3 linked regions of the Xenopus tropicalis genome follow. The protein of the gene in region 1 interacts with the protein of each later gene in a biochemical or structural test. Links are inferred from orthologs where the notes say so. Each region holds a gene or a part of one and is shown in the gene's direction. Other genes may lie near its edges.

The links. The genes of interacting proteins can lie anywhere in the genome.
Region 2: the proteins of tnrc6b (region 1) and ago2 form a complex in vitro, tested with the Homo sapiens proteins (3 studies listed by BioGRID and IntAct, with this or other methods). The link is inferred for Xenopus tropicalis from reciprocal best matches to the Homo sapiens genes TNRC6B and AGO2.
Region 3: the proteins of tnrc6b (region 1) and ago1 form a complex in vitro, tested with the Homo sapiens proteins (2 studies listed by BioGRID and IntAct). The link is inferred for Xenopus tropicalis from reciprocal best matches to the Homo sapiens genes TNRC6B and AGO1.

Annotation. Positions count from the first base shown.
Region 1 is NC_030680.2:121,672,945-121,679,089, forward strand, and holds the start of tnrc6b (trinucleotide repeat-containing gene 6B protein), read left to right. Parts: upstream 1-2,053; 5' UTR 2,054-2,105; coding exon 2,106-2,314; intron 2,315-6,145.
Region 2 is NC_030682.2:146,754,958-146,760,784, forward strand, and holds the start of ago2 (protein argonaute-2), read left to right. Parts: upstream 1-2,006; 5' UTR 2,007-2,244; coding exon 2,245-2,266; intron 2,267-5,827.
Region 3 is NC_030678.2:81,796,851-81,802,564, reverse strand, and holds the start of ago1 (protein argonaute-1), read left to right. Parts: upstream 1-1,893; 5' UTR 1,894-2,005; coding exon 2,006-2,030; intron 2,031-5,714.

The DNA of each region.
Region 1 (6,145 bases):
AAGTATGGTTTAGCTGAGAGCTTTTGTAGCTGACATAGATGCCCTAGTTACATGGTTACTGAATTCTTTTGGATGTATTGGGCAGAGATTCCTGATGCGCAGTGACATTTTCATCTGTCACTTGGGGATCTCTGTTTAAAAGGACAAGTAAAACCTAAAACACTGCCCAGATTTGTTCATGTTATGGCACGGGTCTATTTTATTGATTCCTGAGGTTACTAGCCCACATGAAGCTAAGCACTAGCTAATTTTGTGCTATTTAAAGTAATGAGCCAGAAAATAGAATCGCTTGAGATTTTACCACACATGCATGCCAAATTGTTCCAGTCTGTTTTTTTGATCTAAATAAGAAGACTGCAAAAAGACACGTCATGCTGCAGGTTTCTCAATGATCGATGTTCTATTGGAGGGTCATTTGCTATTGATCTTCCATTTACGATTGTTCAAAATAGTATGTGTAACTACACACAAACTTGTACAGGACTGCATATCATTGTAGGGCTTTATAAATAAGGTTCTACATGCATGTATAAATAAATATGTATACAAAGGATCCTTTATTTACACTGGGTAGATTTGCAGCTGGACAGTAACCCATGGCAGGAACTTTTTTGCTTTAATTGCAGCTGACTATAAAAAAAAAATAAAAAATGAGCAGGCTTATATTTGTTGAAACTGCATCAGTGACCCGGTCACTTGGGGTGCTAAATGCTTCTGCATAGAGATGGCTTATGTATCTCCTGTCTGTTGAAAAGCAGTGGTCCAGTCTTGCTTTATGGCAATAATTCCAGATCACTCTCAATCAAAAGATAGGTATCTCAGAAATATGACAACACTACTTTATCATAGCCCCTGAAGTTTGATAACCAGTGCTATATCTGTAATGCGTGTATTACAATTAAAAGGGTGTTCCACCCAAGCACAACTTAAGCTTTTTGAAAAGTAAACATAACTTCAAATAACTTTGCATTATAAATTAATTAAAAAAATGCAACATTTTCAGGATTTTTAATCCAATAATATTGTTTGAAAAGGTTCCCTCAGCCTAGCCCCCATTCTCCTGCTGATCTGCCTGGCTACTTTGAGAATGTAACAGTAGTCGACTCTCCTCAGGCTGCCTGTATCCTCCAAATCCCACAGTTTTTGTTGGGGCTCTTTAACAAACTTTGGTTCAGAAGCTGGAGTTGCCCTTTAAATGTCCACATAAACTTTTAAAATATATTCATACATACATATATATGTGCATTTATTGTTTGCTTTATCTGTTCGCCTGATTTTAAAGTAAGGTCACAAACATCTGGCCTGTCAGCTTGTATTTATTTTTGTGAACTACAACTCCCAGTATCCTCAGTCTAGCTCTCATGTTGACACATGCTGTGTAAGTTCTGGTTTTGAGGTATGTCTCTGACCACATTCTATATCTCTGGGCTTCTAAAGCTGTTGTGCTAATTTTCTTTCTGGAAATCCAGGTTTTATGTGTAATAATTAGAGCAATGTTTGGCGCTTGTTCTGACTAAGTCATTATAGGTATAATAATATATGAGCAGGACACTTGAGAACAGGTTGCTATTATGTAAGAGGGTGTGTTATAGTTCTCTCAGATGTATATTGTAAAGTTTCAGCAAGAGAGCAAGATTGGCTGTGTTGCTGTGACTGGAAATGGAATTGTCCCAGAATCATATCTTGTATATTGCAGTCTTTGTAGGTTCCCCAAAGCGTTGCCGACACTAATGCAACAGGCAATATTTTGCAGGGGGAATAAGTAGTATGTTGTGAGGCTTAACTTCAACTGAAATGTCAATTTACTTCATTGGCTACTAAGTAAAATTGCTTAAAGCACTACTGTACCTTTAAAAAAAAAAACAAAATGAGAGAGAAAACTGCCCAGGCTTAGTAGGACAGGCGCAGCTCTCCCCCAGCATTGACAGCTCTGGGACTAGCTCTTTAACTGCCTGGGCCCCTCCCCTCACTCCCTCCTGGCGCTTCTGATTGACAGATCTGGCTGGTCACATGATCTGCCTCTATTTGAAGGTCACAAAAAAAGCAGCTTCCTTCAGAGAGGGAGAGAGAGAGCGAGAGGGAGGAGAGAGCAGAGAGAACGTTCAATGCAAAATGGCTGCCAGTCTCTCGTTTATGCACATTTCCCTTTAAAGAGGAGAAAACAGAAATATATAAACAAGTGTGTTTGGAATTTATTATTGTGTATTGCATTTTTGCCTATTTTTATTTTGTGTACTTGCGTTCATTTTTTTTGTACTGGATTTACCTTGTATGCCTCAAACCGCTGGATTATAGCACAGTTGCACTTTATAAGGTCAGTACTGTTTTATAATATCTATCTCCCTTGCATCCCCAGCCGTTTTGTCCTTTGCAGTCTGTACCGTGTGCGATTTCATGCACACACACGCTCTGTGTATATCTGCTCTCCTGTCTGCTCTCCCTGCATTTCTCTGTATGTCTCATTTCTGTTTGCTTTCCTTTCTGCTGTGCTGTGTACATACCCATTTGTCACGGCAAAAGATTCCCTATATATATATATATATATATATATATATATATATATATATATATATATATATGCTGCTACACTCTTAGCTAATGTGAATGGGCAGTATGTTTTACTACAGGGAATTACTCTTGGCCTCAATTGCTTCATTAAAAAAATATTATATATATATATAATTTTTTTTTTAATATATACATTTTTTTCGTTGATTAGTCTGTGATTCTTAATTTACACTTCAAACAAACCTAGTATTTACTCAAGGCTTTTTTCCATGCTATGATCTACCAAAATATGCAGTGTGGTGATATAGAGATAAATTGGTTTTCTATAAAATATACATATATACACATTCACTACATCCTCTGACCTCGTTCTGTTTATTGTAATTTTTTTTTTGTGCCTCCTGGGTTACACATGCAAGTTTTTTTGTTGTTTTGTTTTTGGTTTTTTTTTTTAATTCTGGTCAGATTTATTTATTTTAGTCTAAAATCCGCACTGGCGATTTTTGGATTTGCATTTTTAAAGCCACTAAGGCCTAACAGGAGGGGAGAGAGAGAGAGAGAGAGAAGGAAGGAAGGGAGGGGGGTGGGGGAGGAGGAGAAGGGAGGGCGAGTAGTGGGGGCTGGGGGCATGTTTTTTTTTCCAAGGCTGAATGCGTATAAGCTACTGTATATGTGCAAACTGCAGCCATCTGCAGTATGTGCTTTTACCCTGAGGTTTTGGGGTTTTATATTAGTGGTAATATAAAAAAATATATAGTGGTGAGAGAGAGATGTTTGCAGTTAAGACCCATATGCTTTCTAAGCATGTATTTATAAACTCCTTCCCTTATATTATATATACTTTCCTTTCTTATTCTCTCTGGATTTCTAGAAATAAGTAATTCTTATAATGTATAAGGAGATGTATTTGGATTTTGCCTTTGTGATTTTCAGCAAGGTTTTGCCGGTGCGGCTGTGTGGCTCGCTCTGCAGCCTGGTGTATTTTCTGTGCGCTGCTTGTTACTCTAATTTTCATTTTGCGTGCCACGGATGTGGCTGTTAGCCTTGGACATTTGGTAGCCCATCTGTTACTAATTGCAGGACAGTCTAGTCGTGGAGAAAGGTTTTGATGAGTAAGAATGTCCCTATCCTTTACAATCACCAAACACATTGTATCAGCATAACAATGTACTGGCAGCCTCATCGCACTGTCACCCTGACAGAATAGGCTCCAAGGGTAGCCTTGTGTTTTGTGCCTGTAAAAGTTGCAACCACCTCTGTTCTCATAGCCTTCCTGAGTGATCCATTTGTATGCTACTAAAGATCCACCCCCTAATTACCCTTCTATACTATGAAAAGTGGGTTGTAGGGGGAGGATCAGGCAGTAACATCCTTACCCACTGTATACTTGCTGTGTTAGTCCAGCAGTGTAACATATTTTATTAAGGTCCTGGAACACATTAACAAAGTTAAGGGTGAATTTAAACGTAGTTTGCAGTAGTTTTCTTGTATACACGTGACTGCGAAGAGCAGTTTATAAATACAATTTAACAAGGTGCAGTTTACATGCTGCAGTGGAAGTGCCATGCCTATTCTCATGACTGCAGTTCAAAGGTTAATATATTGATATGTAATGTTAAAAGGCCGGTTGCATCAAAACAGTAAATATTGTGTGTATTAAATATTTTATATATATATCTTGTTTGTGTATAAGCAATAGCTAAAAGGTTAATGCCACATATGGTTACCTTCAGCCTGGCATATTTCAGATTGGTAAAAAGCACACATGATCCCTTCCTGTGGCTTTGTATTCTGAAAATTAGGCCAAAAAGCGCTCACACCTTAGCTGCCTGGTGTTTTGTATTCAGGCTAATGCCAGACGAAGGCACAGGGCGGATATTTTCGGCAAACGGAAAAGCGCTTGCTGCAAATACCACCCTACGCCTCCTACATGTGCCTGCACCCAAATGAATGGAATACGCTCGGGTGCAGGCACATGTAGCCGAAATACGCATAAAAATGCAAGACTTTCAAACTCTCGTGTTTTTATGCGTATTTCCTCTACTTTTGCCGAAAATATCCGCCCTATGCCGAGGTTTCGTACGATAATATCGGTGCGTGTATGGCCACCTTAAAAGGCACCCATGGTGATATATGCTTAAAATAAAGTTTATGTTAATGTCTGTGTAGCCATGGGGCTGCCATTCAGGTTTTCAGTAGGTGCCTAGACAGGTATCTTTTGTATTGTACTCATCTAGTTGACAGATATAATTCATAAGCAAGCATTGTTACCTTTTGTATTAGTTTAGCTCCTAAAACAAGTTGTTAGGGCCGTGGCAGATGGGGAGATTCTTCTCAGTGTAAGTAATAACACCTCAAAAAAGTTCAAAATTAGTGGTGGTAATTGTAATTGTATTGCAGAATTTCAACAGTGCCATAACTTGGTGTGGACAAAGACAAAGTTAAAATCAGAAGGGGTGCATTATGCAGTTGGGCTACAGCGCACTCCTATAGAGAAGAGCACTGGAAGTTGGGTTGCTGCCTGCTTTTTAGTGACATTGGCCTAGTAGTTTGGGGGGTGCTGTAACCCTGAAAACAGAGATATATGGAAAAAGGTCACATTCCCCTCATACTGGAATTGCCAGTGTGACAAATTCAATATAGTGAAAAATCTAGAGCACCGTATCTTAGGGGTATATTTATCATGTTGTATAAAAAGTGGAGTGAAGCTTTACCTGTGATTTTGCCCAGGGAAGCCAATCAGCAATTAGATTTCAACAGTTAGAAAATCAAAGCAAAGCACCTGATTGGCTGCTATGAGCAACATCACCAATAATGTTTTACTCCACTTTTTACACAGCATGATAAATATACTTCTTAGTGTAATTATAGTTTTGTTACCATTTTATGTTGATTATGTCTCAGAAGACATATACCAAATCAGTATAGAAAATGTTATCTGACAGGAAAAAAAACTAAGAATAGTAGATTTGCACAGTTTTGCTCTGACAGACACATATGAGTCTCTGCTCTTAATGCAGTGGATCTAGAAATTGGTCAGATTTTACTTAGTTGAAGGGGAAACGCATGTGGTGGATTTTAAAGTAGGTGGGTTGGCAATGGGTTTGCATTGCCTTCTGTGACTTGAATTCTGCATAGGATAGAAGGGTGTAGGCATCTGCGCTTTGCCAATTGGGATTTAAGCATTGCTTGCCTTAAAGGTCAGCAGGATGACTAATTCTGTCAGGTCCCCCATTGAGGAAATCCTGCAGACTGTGGAGGGTGGATGGGAGGAGGTCTGGAACCTACAGACTAAACTAAGTAGGAAAGAAATTGTAGGATGCAAATTAGAGATAAAGTTTTAGCATAAGTATATATAAGACTTTAAAAAAAAAAAAAAAAAGATTTTTGCAAGATTCTTAGTGATTGCTGCTTATATTTGGACATAAAGTAACTAACTACTTCTCTCATATATATGTATATATGAATGTCCAAAGTACAGCACTTAGCCCAAGGTTTTGTTTACAGATAGCAATTTTTCTCAAGGGGAATTTTTTTTTTTATCTGTATGTTTTATTTATATATACATATATATATTATATATTTTAGCTTCTTTTTTAAATGCAAGTGGTGAGTTTTATTATTTCCAACGTTTCAG
Region 2 (5,827 bases), on another chromosome or scaffold:
TATAATATACTAGTGCTCTGCACTGGTAAAAGTTGTGTGTTTGCTACAGAAACCCTACTATAGTTTATATATAATAAGCTGCTGTGTAGCCTTGGGGGCATCCATTCAAGCTGGAAAAAAGGAGAAAAGGCACAGGTTACATAGCAGATAACGGATAAGCTCTGTAGAATACAATAGTGTTTTATTTGTTATCTGCTAAGTGCCTGTCCCTTTTCTCCTTTGAATGGCTGCCACCATAGCTGCATTCTTTATATAAACCATAAGAGTGTTTCTGAGACAAACACCCCAGTTGTACCAGTGCAGGGCAGCAGTACATTATATTTGAATTTCTTTTATACACTTGAATTTTTTGGTGTTACTGTTCCTTTAAGGGTCACTGACACTCTGACTTTGAGAGCGAGGGAGCCAAAATCTCAAAAACCAGTAAAAACAGAAAACCCATTTATATTGCAAGTGTGCTCAGGTTAACTCAGGGGTGGGCAAACTACAGCCCGCGAGCCACGTCCGGCCCGTTGGTCTTTTTAATCTGGCCCGCTGATTCCGCAACTCTCATCACGCGAGACTTGGCGTCAAGACTGCATGTAAGTACCTAGGGGACTGGCACGCGGAGATGGCGCTGGCCCGGCCCGTATGTCAAATTTTCAAAGTCGATGTGGACCCTGAGCCAAAAAGTTTGCCCACCCCTGGGTTAACTTCTCAGAGGCACCCCACCCAGTTTGGTTTTAGTTCGAGAAGTTACAACACCATTCGTTTTCCTTATGTATACATCTTTTGACTTTTACTTTACACCTCCCAGCAGCTCAGGACTCTGAGAAAGCAAGACCCCGACCCGCACAACCCCCCTAACGCCCTCCCATTACCTCCTCCCCCCTTCCCTAAAGGAATGATACACAATGAATCATACTTGTATACTTTATTGATGTAACCACACACAACTTTGTGAATCATTGACTGTAATGTTTTATGATCAATAAAAAAGTTAAAATACAAAAAAAAAAAAAAGAAATTGTGGGATTCTTTCCCTGAAGGGCTGGTAATGGCAGATACATTAGATAGCACTAGGAAAGGGTTGGGCGCCTTCATATCAGTGGAAAAATACAAGGTGTGTAACATTGAAAGTGACCATACACGGGCCAATTTCATCTGCCAATAATGGTTCTTTAGACCAATTCAGCAGCTTATCTGCCCAAGTTTGGGCACCCGACCAACATCTGGCTGAAATTGGCCAGCTTTCAATTGAGCAGGTTTGATATTTCTGTGGGATCCGACAGTGCCTGTTACTGCCGTCTAACCACCCGTCGGTGGGCATATTGGGGGAAGATCCTCGCCAAACAATCAGATCTTAAGTGTATGGCCACCTTAACTGTTAGCCCAGGTCCATCCATGAGAAGAAATAATCTATACACTGCTGTCTGGTTACTGGGTACCACTCACCTTAGCAACCAGACAGTATTTTACATTTCCAAAAGAAATCAAATAATAAAGAAATTCTAAAAAAAAAAATGCCCTTCAAATATTGGTCACAAACGCAGAACCGTATAGTCATTATATTTATTACAGGGTGTATGGCTTATGGGGCTGCTCAGCCTAACAGACAAAATGCAGATGACGAAGACCAGACATAAACAGTCCATTGTCCGTCAATGTAATCGCTTTAAGCCCTCGGATAAACACAGTTCGCGGGCAAAGGCAAAGTTTAGCGCTTTATCGATTTGCCCATACCCAATATGGCAGAGCACTCACTTCCGGCGAGTAACCCAGCGCCGCTCATTATTGTTGAAAAATAACCAAACCCGCCGCGTCTGGCCCCGCCCCCTCCCCCTTATTTCTATTACAAGCTAAAGAGGAAAAAAGCTCCGCCCAGCAACAGCCGCTTTCCCTTTTCTCCCCGGCCAGAGCTCCGCCCGCGTCGTGTGACGTCACCCCCTTCCCTCCAATGCGCCGAGTTCCCGCCCCTTGACGTTGCGTGTCCCGCCCCCCAGCCTCTGTCCGCCGGCCGTTTTCCCCTCAGTTCATGTCGCGCAAAAGAAAGAGAAAAAAAAGGAAAGAAGCGAGAGAAGCGAGAGGCGGGAACTCGGCGTATTCCCTCCCACACACCGTGCCTTACACCATGGAGCCCTAACGGACTGACTGGCCGCTCTCTGAGGGGTTCTGTGCACAGCGAAGGGGGCGGGACTGGCTGCGTTACCCCCTGTGTCTGGAACTTTATTTTCCCCCTCGCACTTCGCTCTTGGGGCCGCAGACATGTACGCCGGGGCCGGGCCGGGTGAGTTAGCGCTGCTTTATCCCAATCCCACTGCGCTGGGAGAGTCAGGGCCCTAGAAGCCCTGGAAACGGCGGGAGGGCCGCCTGGTCACATGGGGAGCCGGAGTGGGGGTCATTCCAACTTGTGCCTCTCCACCTGTCCTTCTACTCTCCAGCTGCTAGGAATGCTGGGAGCTGTAGTTCAGCAACAAGTGGTGACAGAGGGGGACTATCAGTTTGCAGTTGGTCTTTATTTTCATGATATTGTGTGTTTAACTGTTTTAGTGCTGCATTTCAATGCTGACCTAGGAACCCTAAATTGTAGTATGGAGGCTGGGCATATATTGTTTATTATGTATCTTTCTATTGGGTTTCCCCGTATGTTTATCATTTGTCATTCAGACTGCGGTGTAGTTGCTAGGGAACGTGGGGCCTTAGTAACCAGGCAACCATTTTAAATTCCTAGCCGGAGAACAAATCGCAAGTCATTAAAAAGCAGGAAAACTAAAAAAAAACACAAGTGCGAGTTGTAGTAGGAATACTTTGTCTGAGGGGTCCCCAACCTTTCTTACTTGTGAGACACAGCCAAATGTAAAAAGACTTGGGGAGCAACACAAGCACCATAAATGTTCAGCCAAATAAGGGCTGTGATTGGCTATTAGGCACCTCTATGCACCCTATCAGCTTACAGGGGCTTTATTTGGTAGGAAATCTTGTTTTTATTCAACCAAAACTTGCCCCCAAGTCAGGAATTCAAAAATAACTCCCTGGTTTGGGGGCACTGAGAGCAACATCCAAGGGGTTGGGGAGCAACATGTTGCCCTGAGCCACTGGTTGGGGATCACTGTACTAAAGGCAATGTTAGGGTGAGCTGCTACTCCGACTAACAGATTGTGGATTCATTTTAATTGTGAGCGTTTTGTCCTACGTAATTGTGACCCAGACACTCTTGCATGTGTAACTATGAGCAGCGCTGGTAAATTGGATTCATCTGAAGGAAAAAAATTGCAAACCAGTAGGTAAAGGTGGCCATACACCTTCAGATTCGCTCGTTTGGCGATGTGGTCAAGCCAGCGGATCTTCTCCCAATATCCCCCACCTACGGGTGGGCGATATCGGGAGAATCTAGGCTAATTTGACTTGAATTATAACGACGGGTATAGGCAAAGTCGGTCCGGGGACTGCATCAACTAGCCAATGTGGTCCCCGATCCAACTAGATTTTCTAACCTGCCCGATCGAGATCTGCCCGATTTCAGACCAGATATCGGTCGGGCAGGCCCGTCGGTAGTGCCCATACACGGGCAGATTAGCTGCCGAATCGGTCTAAGGGACCCATATCAGCAGCTAGAATCGGCCCGTGTATGGGGACCTTAAAACTCACTCAGTAGCACGATTCAGCAATGGGTGCACATCCAGCAGGGGCCCCCACTCCTGGACACTTGCAGCCATAATATCAATATAACACCCCAAGCTTGATAGAGAGCCAATAAGGCTCAAAATGTTGCTGTTGCCGTTGTAGTGATAATAGTCATTTTAATGCTATTATGGAGTGCTGCCTGTAACGGTTTTAAAAAATAATTGTATGGTGTTTTAAAGGACAAGGAAACCCATGTGTGTATCATGTACCCCCTGCAGAGGTTTCCATCCCACCCATACTGCCCAGATCTGCCCTGTGCCTGTTAAACAGATGCAGAGTTGTGTAGTGGCAATGGGGGCTGCCATCTTGGGATGCACAACTAGAACTTGGAAAAAACAAAGTGCAGCAAATTTTCTGTATTAAAAATTAGCAATGGCTGCCGTCTCTGGCCGCTTGATGTCCAGCTCTCTTGGGGCGGTTGTTGGCCAGGAGCCTGTGCAGTTGAGGTCAGAATCAGACAGAAGTGGGCACAAACACCAATGCACTAATCTGTGTTTTACTGAAAGGTCTTGGCAAAGAAACAAGGGGGGTAAAGGTGGCAATAAACAGGCCAATTCTAGCTGCTGATATTGGTCCTTTAGACCGATTCGGTGGCTTATCTGCTCGTGTATGGGTACGAACAATGGGCCTCCCCGACTGAGGCCCTGAAATTGGCCAGATGTTTGTGCTGGTTTGGTTTCTCCGTTGGATCATGGTCCGCGTTGGCTTGTTGACGCAGTCCCTGAACCGACAGCACCTTATACCCGCCATTCTTATTCAATCTTTTGGCCCCAGGGCCAAATTAGCCCAATATCGTCCACCCGTGGGTGGGGATATCGGGAGAAGATCCACTCGCTTGGGGAGCGGATCTCACCATGTATGGCTAGCGTAAAGGTGCATGATTTAAACATGGCTTAAGTCACATGATAGTAAGGGTTCTGAATGGGGTTCTGTTAAAAGAAAGGTTTTGTGTGATTGGGCTGCCTGCCATAGTCCAGCATATACTGCTAGTTTGGCTGCTTTTGAATGGGAGCATTGCACGTGTGTTTGTTGCAGGGAAGTTGGAGTGTTAGCTCAGCTGGGGCATTAGCCGGTATCCATTATACATTCTCTGTGCAGTGTTGGGGCTCTGGAATGTACGTGCACCAGTTGTAAGGCTTTCTGTGGTTGGTGTTGCTGGGTTCCTCAGACCTGTAACGTGGGCAGCTTGGCACTAGTGTAGTCACCTATAGCACCCAGTCCTATTCAGACCTTCTATTCTTCCTGCAGCTGGGTGGGCAGAACTAATTACTTTGCATTACTACTCAGTTCCCACTTTTATTAAATGAGCCCCATAGTGTATAAGCCTAGCGATCTGACAGTAGTGTGTTACTAAGGGCTGAGTAAGTGTAAAGCCCCCTCTCCTGTCTGCTGCATGGTCTCAGAGCAAATTCTGCGGATACCGCCGGTTTTTCCTTTCCTGTCCCTATCTCTAGAATTGCAGCAGGTTTGTGGGTCACCTTATCAATGACGGCACTAATTTGTATTTATCTGTTAATCTTGCTTATCCCCCACCCATGAGTTCTGTTCTGGGTGGCTTGTGGTACAGTAAATGCTGTAAGCTCCCTGTGAGTTTATTCAACTATGTTTTCTGCTATTTTGCAAAATGATAACACTAATGTTTCTGTCTTTTGTTTATTGCCCCACGTGTTGGATTTATAAACACAGGCTGAGAATCCATCCCTGAGCTGGCATTGCCCTTCCTCCTTGCCTTTACCCAGAACCACCTTTAGTTAATGTTAAAGGGGTTGTTCACCTTAAATTAACTTTTAGTATGATGTAGACATTGATATTCTGAGACAATTTGCAATTGGGCTTCATTTTTGATGGTTTTTCAGTTATTTCACATTTTGTTCAGCAGCTCTCCAGTTTGGAATTTCAGCAGCTATCTGAGTGCTAGGGTCTTATATATCGTAGCAACCAGGCCATGGTATAAATGAGAGATGCAAATATGAATAGTAGAGGGCCTGCATAGAAAGATAAGTAGTAAAAAGTAACAACAATAATAAAATTGTAGCAAAGTTTTTGGCTGCCGGGGGGTCAGTGACCCCCATTTGAAAGCTGGGAAGAAGAGAAGGGCAAATAATTCAAAATCTATACAAAATAAGTAATAAAAACCAACTGCAATGTTGCTAGAAAATGGGGC
Region 3 (5,714 bases), on another chromosome or scaffold:
AGTATGGGTCTGTATGTGAGTGTATAGATAGGTCAGTATGGGTTTATGTATGTGAGTGTATAGATAGGTCAGTATGGGTCTGTATGTGAGTGTATAGATAGGTCAGTATGGGTTTATGTATGTGAGTGTATAGATAGGTCAGTATGGGTTTATGTATGTGAGTGTATAGATAGGTCAGTATGGGTTTATGTATGTGAGTGTATAGATAGGTCAGTATGGGTCTGTATGTGAGTGTATAGATAGGTCAGTATGGGTTATGTATGTGAGTGTATAGATAGGTCAGTATGGGTCTGTATGTGAGTGTATAGATAGGTCAGTATTGGTCTGTATGTGAGTGTATAGATAGGTCAGTATAGGTTTATGTATGTGAGTGTATAGATAGGTCAGTATAGGTTTATGTATGTGAGTGTATAGATAGGTCAGTATGGGTTTATGTATGTGAGTGTATAGATAGGTCAGTATGGGTCTGTATGTGAGTGTATAGATAGGTCAGTATGGGTTTATGTATGTGAGTGTATAGATAGGTCATTATGGGTCTGTATGTGAGTGTATAGATAGGTCAGTATGGGTTTATGTATGTGAGTGTATAGATAGGTCAGTATGGGTTTATGTATGTGAGTGTATAGATAGGTCAGTATGGGTCTGTATGTGAGTGTATAGATAGGTCAGTATGGGTTTATGTATGTGAGTGTATAGATAGGTCAGTATGGGTCTGTATGTGAGTGTATAGATAGGTCAGTATGGGTCTGTATGTGAGTGTATAGATAGGTCAGTATAGGTTTATGTATGTGAGTGTATAGATAGGTCAGTATAGGTTTATGTATGTGAGTGTATAGATAGGTCAGTATGGGTTTATGTATGTGAGTGGATAGATAGGTCAGTATGGGTTTATGTATGTGAGTGTATAGATAGGTCAGTATGGGTCTGTATGTGAGTGTATAGATAGGTCAGTATGGGTTTATGTATGTGAGTGTATAGATAGGTCAGTATGGGTCTGTATGTGAGTGTATAGATAGGTCAGTATTGGTCTGTATGTGAGTGTATAGATAGGTCAGTATAGGTTTATGTATGTGAGTGTATAGATAGGTCAGTATAGGTTTATGTATGTGAGTGTATAGATAGGTCAGTATGGGTTTATGTATGTGAGTGTATAGATAGGTCAGTATGGGTTTATGTATGTGAGTGTATAGATAGGTCAGTATGGGTTTATGTATGTGAGTGTATAGATAGGTCAGTATGGGTTTATGTATGTGAGTGTATAGATAGGTCAGTATGGGTTTATGTATGTGAGTGTATAGATAGGTCAGTATGGGTCTGTATGTGAGTGTATAGATATGTCAGTATGGGTCTGTATGTGAGTATATAGATAGGTCACTATGGGTCTGTATGTGATAGTATACAGTAGATAGGTCAGTATAGGTTTGTGTGTGCTGGGTTTACTTGGAAGGGTTGAACTTGATGGACCCAGGTCTTTTTTCAACCCTATGTAACTATTTCTGGAGTTAAAGGGACATCGAATTGCAACATTCCCCTGCGGAATACAGGAAAGGTATATACTGGAGACATATTGCATCATATATCAGACGCCCTCTTCTGCACCGAGAAAGTCTGTTTATGAGCGAGCTGCTGAAAAGGCGGAAAGGGATGGATTAGAAAACAGGGACTATGTACCTAGGTACACCAGTGATGATTAATAGTAACCCCTGTATCTATCCGCAATTCTAGGTGAGGATGTGAGGCTGACAATGATAATGTAACTGACAATAAATAAATACTATTCCACGTGTGTGCGCGCACAGCATGCTTCTTATTTAAATAAAGTTATTTGCAAAAAAAGAAAAAAAAACTGCGAGGTTTGTAAGCGTTCTGATTGGATACGCGCTGCAGTGCTAAAGCGCATGCGCCTGAAGCTTAGAGCTTGGTGAACAGGCAGCTGCAACAGAACAGGGAGACAGTAGCCACATTACATTGTACATAAAACCAGATATTAAGCTGTGTGGATGGGATGGAAGCTGGACCTTCTTCTGCAGGTGAGCAGGGGATGTTGCTAGCTTCCCAGTGTATAAAAGGGGGAGATGTAATGTTGTATTGAGGAGGGAAGGGGGGTGGGGGTGAGTGGCTAACAGACTGCAACTAATGTTGATAGAGAGACCCCCTAAAGAAATGCAAATTGGGAATGTTTCTTTCATGCCAAAAGCGAGCGGAGTGCGAGGGGGAGGGAGATGTGGCTGGGGCAAGTGCAGAGGGAGAGAAATAGTCTGAATGCAGAAGGGAATAAACGTGATTTATTGGATAACATGTGGGAAGACTTTTCATTATTTCTACTTCATTTTTAAAAAAAAAAATAACTTTTAACTTATATTTTTTGTTTGATACCTCTCTTTAGATTGTAAGCTCTATTGGGCAGGGCCCTCTTTAACTCCTGCATGGAGCTGTATTTGTATATCATCTGTATGTGGTGATGGATACGCTGCAGAATATGTCACTTCTTTATTTGTTAATACTAATAGATACTGGTATGTTGGAGTCACTTGGGCTGTGTTTCAATGTCCAAAAGATCAAAGTATGTGTGTAGTCGTGCATAAATGTCACCGAATGTGGCATGGCACTGAAGGTTATTGTTTTAATCAACCATTATGTTGACTTAACACCCACCGTATAAGAAGATTCTTCACATTTATGTATTTGCTTCACTGCTTTGGGCCGTCGATTCAGCATCAAGCATAAATGGAAATGTTCTTCCTATGCTTTATAACTTAATTTAGGCATAAAGCCATCTTTTATCAGTTATGTTCTATTTGCCTAGCACAAATATCATAATATTATTCTCTCTTGTCATCCCTTACAGGCAGCTGCAATCATACTCATTATAGTCTAAAATGATTCCTATAATTCCCCTCTTTTTTTGTGTAAATTAATCACCAAGTTGTTGTAATTTAAAAGATATTTCAAACCAGTGACTCTTTTTGAGTGAGAATAATTAATGATTATTTGTACCAGGAATGCAAAGCTATAACTTTTTTTTTTTTTTTTTGCTGTTTTCAAGTAGAAATACTTAATACTTTGATGATAGTGCTACTTTAAGCCATGATCTGGGCAGTTAAAAGTAGACTGTAAATAGTTGAATTGGGAAAGGTTGGAATTGATGCTTGAAAGGGACTTCTTTAAAAACTAGTGACCAAGATGCCATGTCAATTTGTACTACCTTGTTCATGATCACAAATTAGTTACAGCCCTTCCCTTTTTAATACACCTATACTAATAATTGCACAGTACTTCTTTACCCAAACCGAAAGGGCATGTCTGAGGTACATTGCTTTCAATACTTTCATGTACATGGTACAGGTATGGGACCTGTTATCCAGAATGCTCAGGACCTGGTGTTTTCCGGATAAAGGGATCTTTCTGTAATTGGATTTCCATCTTTAGTCTGCTAAAAATCATTAGCCTTGTTTGCCTCCAATAAGGATTAGGTATATCTTAGCTGGGATCAAGTACAAGGTACTGTTTTATTATTTCAGAGAAAAAGTAAATAATTTTCTTAAAAAATATTTGTTTATAATGGAGTCTATGGGAGATGGCCTTTCTGTAATTTGGAACTTTCTGGATAATGGGTTTCTGGATAAGGGATCCTATACCTGTACTGTTTCAAAGGGGTATTGTAAAAAGCAATAGAAGATAGGCTTGAGTGTGATCCCTCAATTTAGCTATCATCCATCATGTTACTCAAAAGTATTCTTTCTTTAACCTCTTCTTAGTTTACAATATATATGCTCTTATTTTAATGATAAGGATTTTATCCTTGCAAATGCATGTTCCATATAGGGGGTGCTGTGGGAGGTGACATATATATATATAGGACCAGCTTAAAAATATGGAAAAGCCTGCAATAGAACTGAGAGTACTCAACACAGCAGCTCTAAAACTTAAAGGGGTTTCTGTTTTTACTTAAAAAGGGTTGTTGTAAAAACCACCATGGACATCGAACACAGAAAAGCTACAAGGTCTTATGTCCTTTGTACATAGTTATAGTTTTTTTGTGTGTGTGTTTATATAAGACTATATAAGACAGAGACCTTGAGTGGCCCCGAAAGGGAACCTCTGTGGCCCCCTACGGTATGCCTACAGACTACTTATTATATAGACGTCCGCTATCTTTGTCCTACCAAAATGCTCCATTACTTCATGGTCTTGATTCTTTGTATACACTTTAATACCCATATAGTAGCCTGTATGTTGTATGCTTATTTCAAAATAAAAAATAAAAAAAAGGGTTGTTGTAAGATAACTGTATGTAGCGGCAAATGTTGGTTTATGTGGTGTAAAGGTTCTTGCTTTTAGACCCTAGAACAGTGGTAATATGTTCTTTGGAGTGATTAATCTGGCAATCCGTGTTTGGCTGATGCCAGGCTAGCACTACTTTTTCGTACACAACTTTTTCGTATGCTTGTTCGAAAAATTCAGAAAGGTTCTGCCGCTGTTTACAATTGTTCGGTACGAAAATTTCGTGACTTTCGGATCACCAATACGATATTATCGTAAGCATTTTCGTGATATTTGCGATCGTCAGAAATTATCGTATCCAATCCGAATTTTTCCCATTTGGGATTCGAACTCGTGTTTTAATGAATCGGCCCCATAATGTCAACCCTAAAGTTTGGTAGAGGAGTGAAAAGGTGCCAAGGTTCCTGGTTCTGCTGAAAGTAAACCATAACAATATAGAGAATATAGAGAATAATGACAATATTTGCTTAGCAACAGTTTAGGGACCTCTGTTCATTGTTTCAGCCTGATAATGCTGCATGTATGTAATTCATTTTCTGAGACTGTAGTGGAAGACTTTGGCTGGCATACCTTAACCCAACAAGAATGCCTGTGGAATGTATTGCAAAGCCGAATGTGTGTCAGGTTTGATTGCCCAAAATCACCAGTGCTTTTCTGGCTGATTAGAAGGAAATGCAACGGTAATTTTCCAACATCTGATGCAAATCCTTCCTATAAAGGTAGAGACTATTAGCTCAGCGATGGGAGGACTCTCATTCCAAAACCCATGTTTTAATTTAAAGAGAGATTGAAAGACGCCTATCAATACAATTTTTGCAGTAAAGCTAAACCACATCTGTTCATAACATGCATTCTAAATGGAAGTGGTTTTAGCAAACTGTAACTTATCTTGTCAAATGCTTTCAAGTGGCAGAGTTTTAAACTAATGTACACCTTATAAATTAATTTGGATTAAACTGGGTGGTGGAAAAATGCTGCAGTGTACTACGATTCCTTCCAACAGGCCTGTTCAGGTTAAGGAGAAAGTTTGCATGAGAGAGTATGTTTGACAACATGATATGACCAATCAGATTTCAGAATGCATTCAATCCTAATTCGAGTCTATAGAAAAAAAATGACCCGACTGACCTCTGCACTCTGTTATTGTCTAGTCCCCAGGGTGCAGACCCACAAGGCAAAGTGAAATGAATAATTTTATCTTGGCTACATATTTTGCATCAGTGCATCAGTTTAAATAGATTATAACACTTGCTTTTTTTATATGGTGAAATGTATGACTGCACTGCTTGTGAAATAGTTACAGTCTCTGCGAAAGGAGATTTATAGATATGGTTAATGTGATAACAACCCCCAAAAAATGTATGTAAGATGTATGTATGTAAGTGTGTTTCTGAGCACAGAGGTTTAAAGGAACAGTAACACCAAAAAAT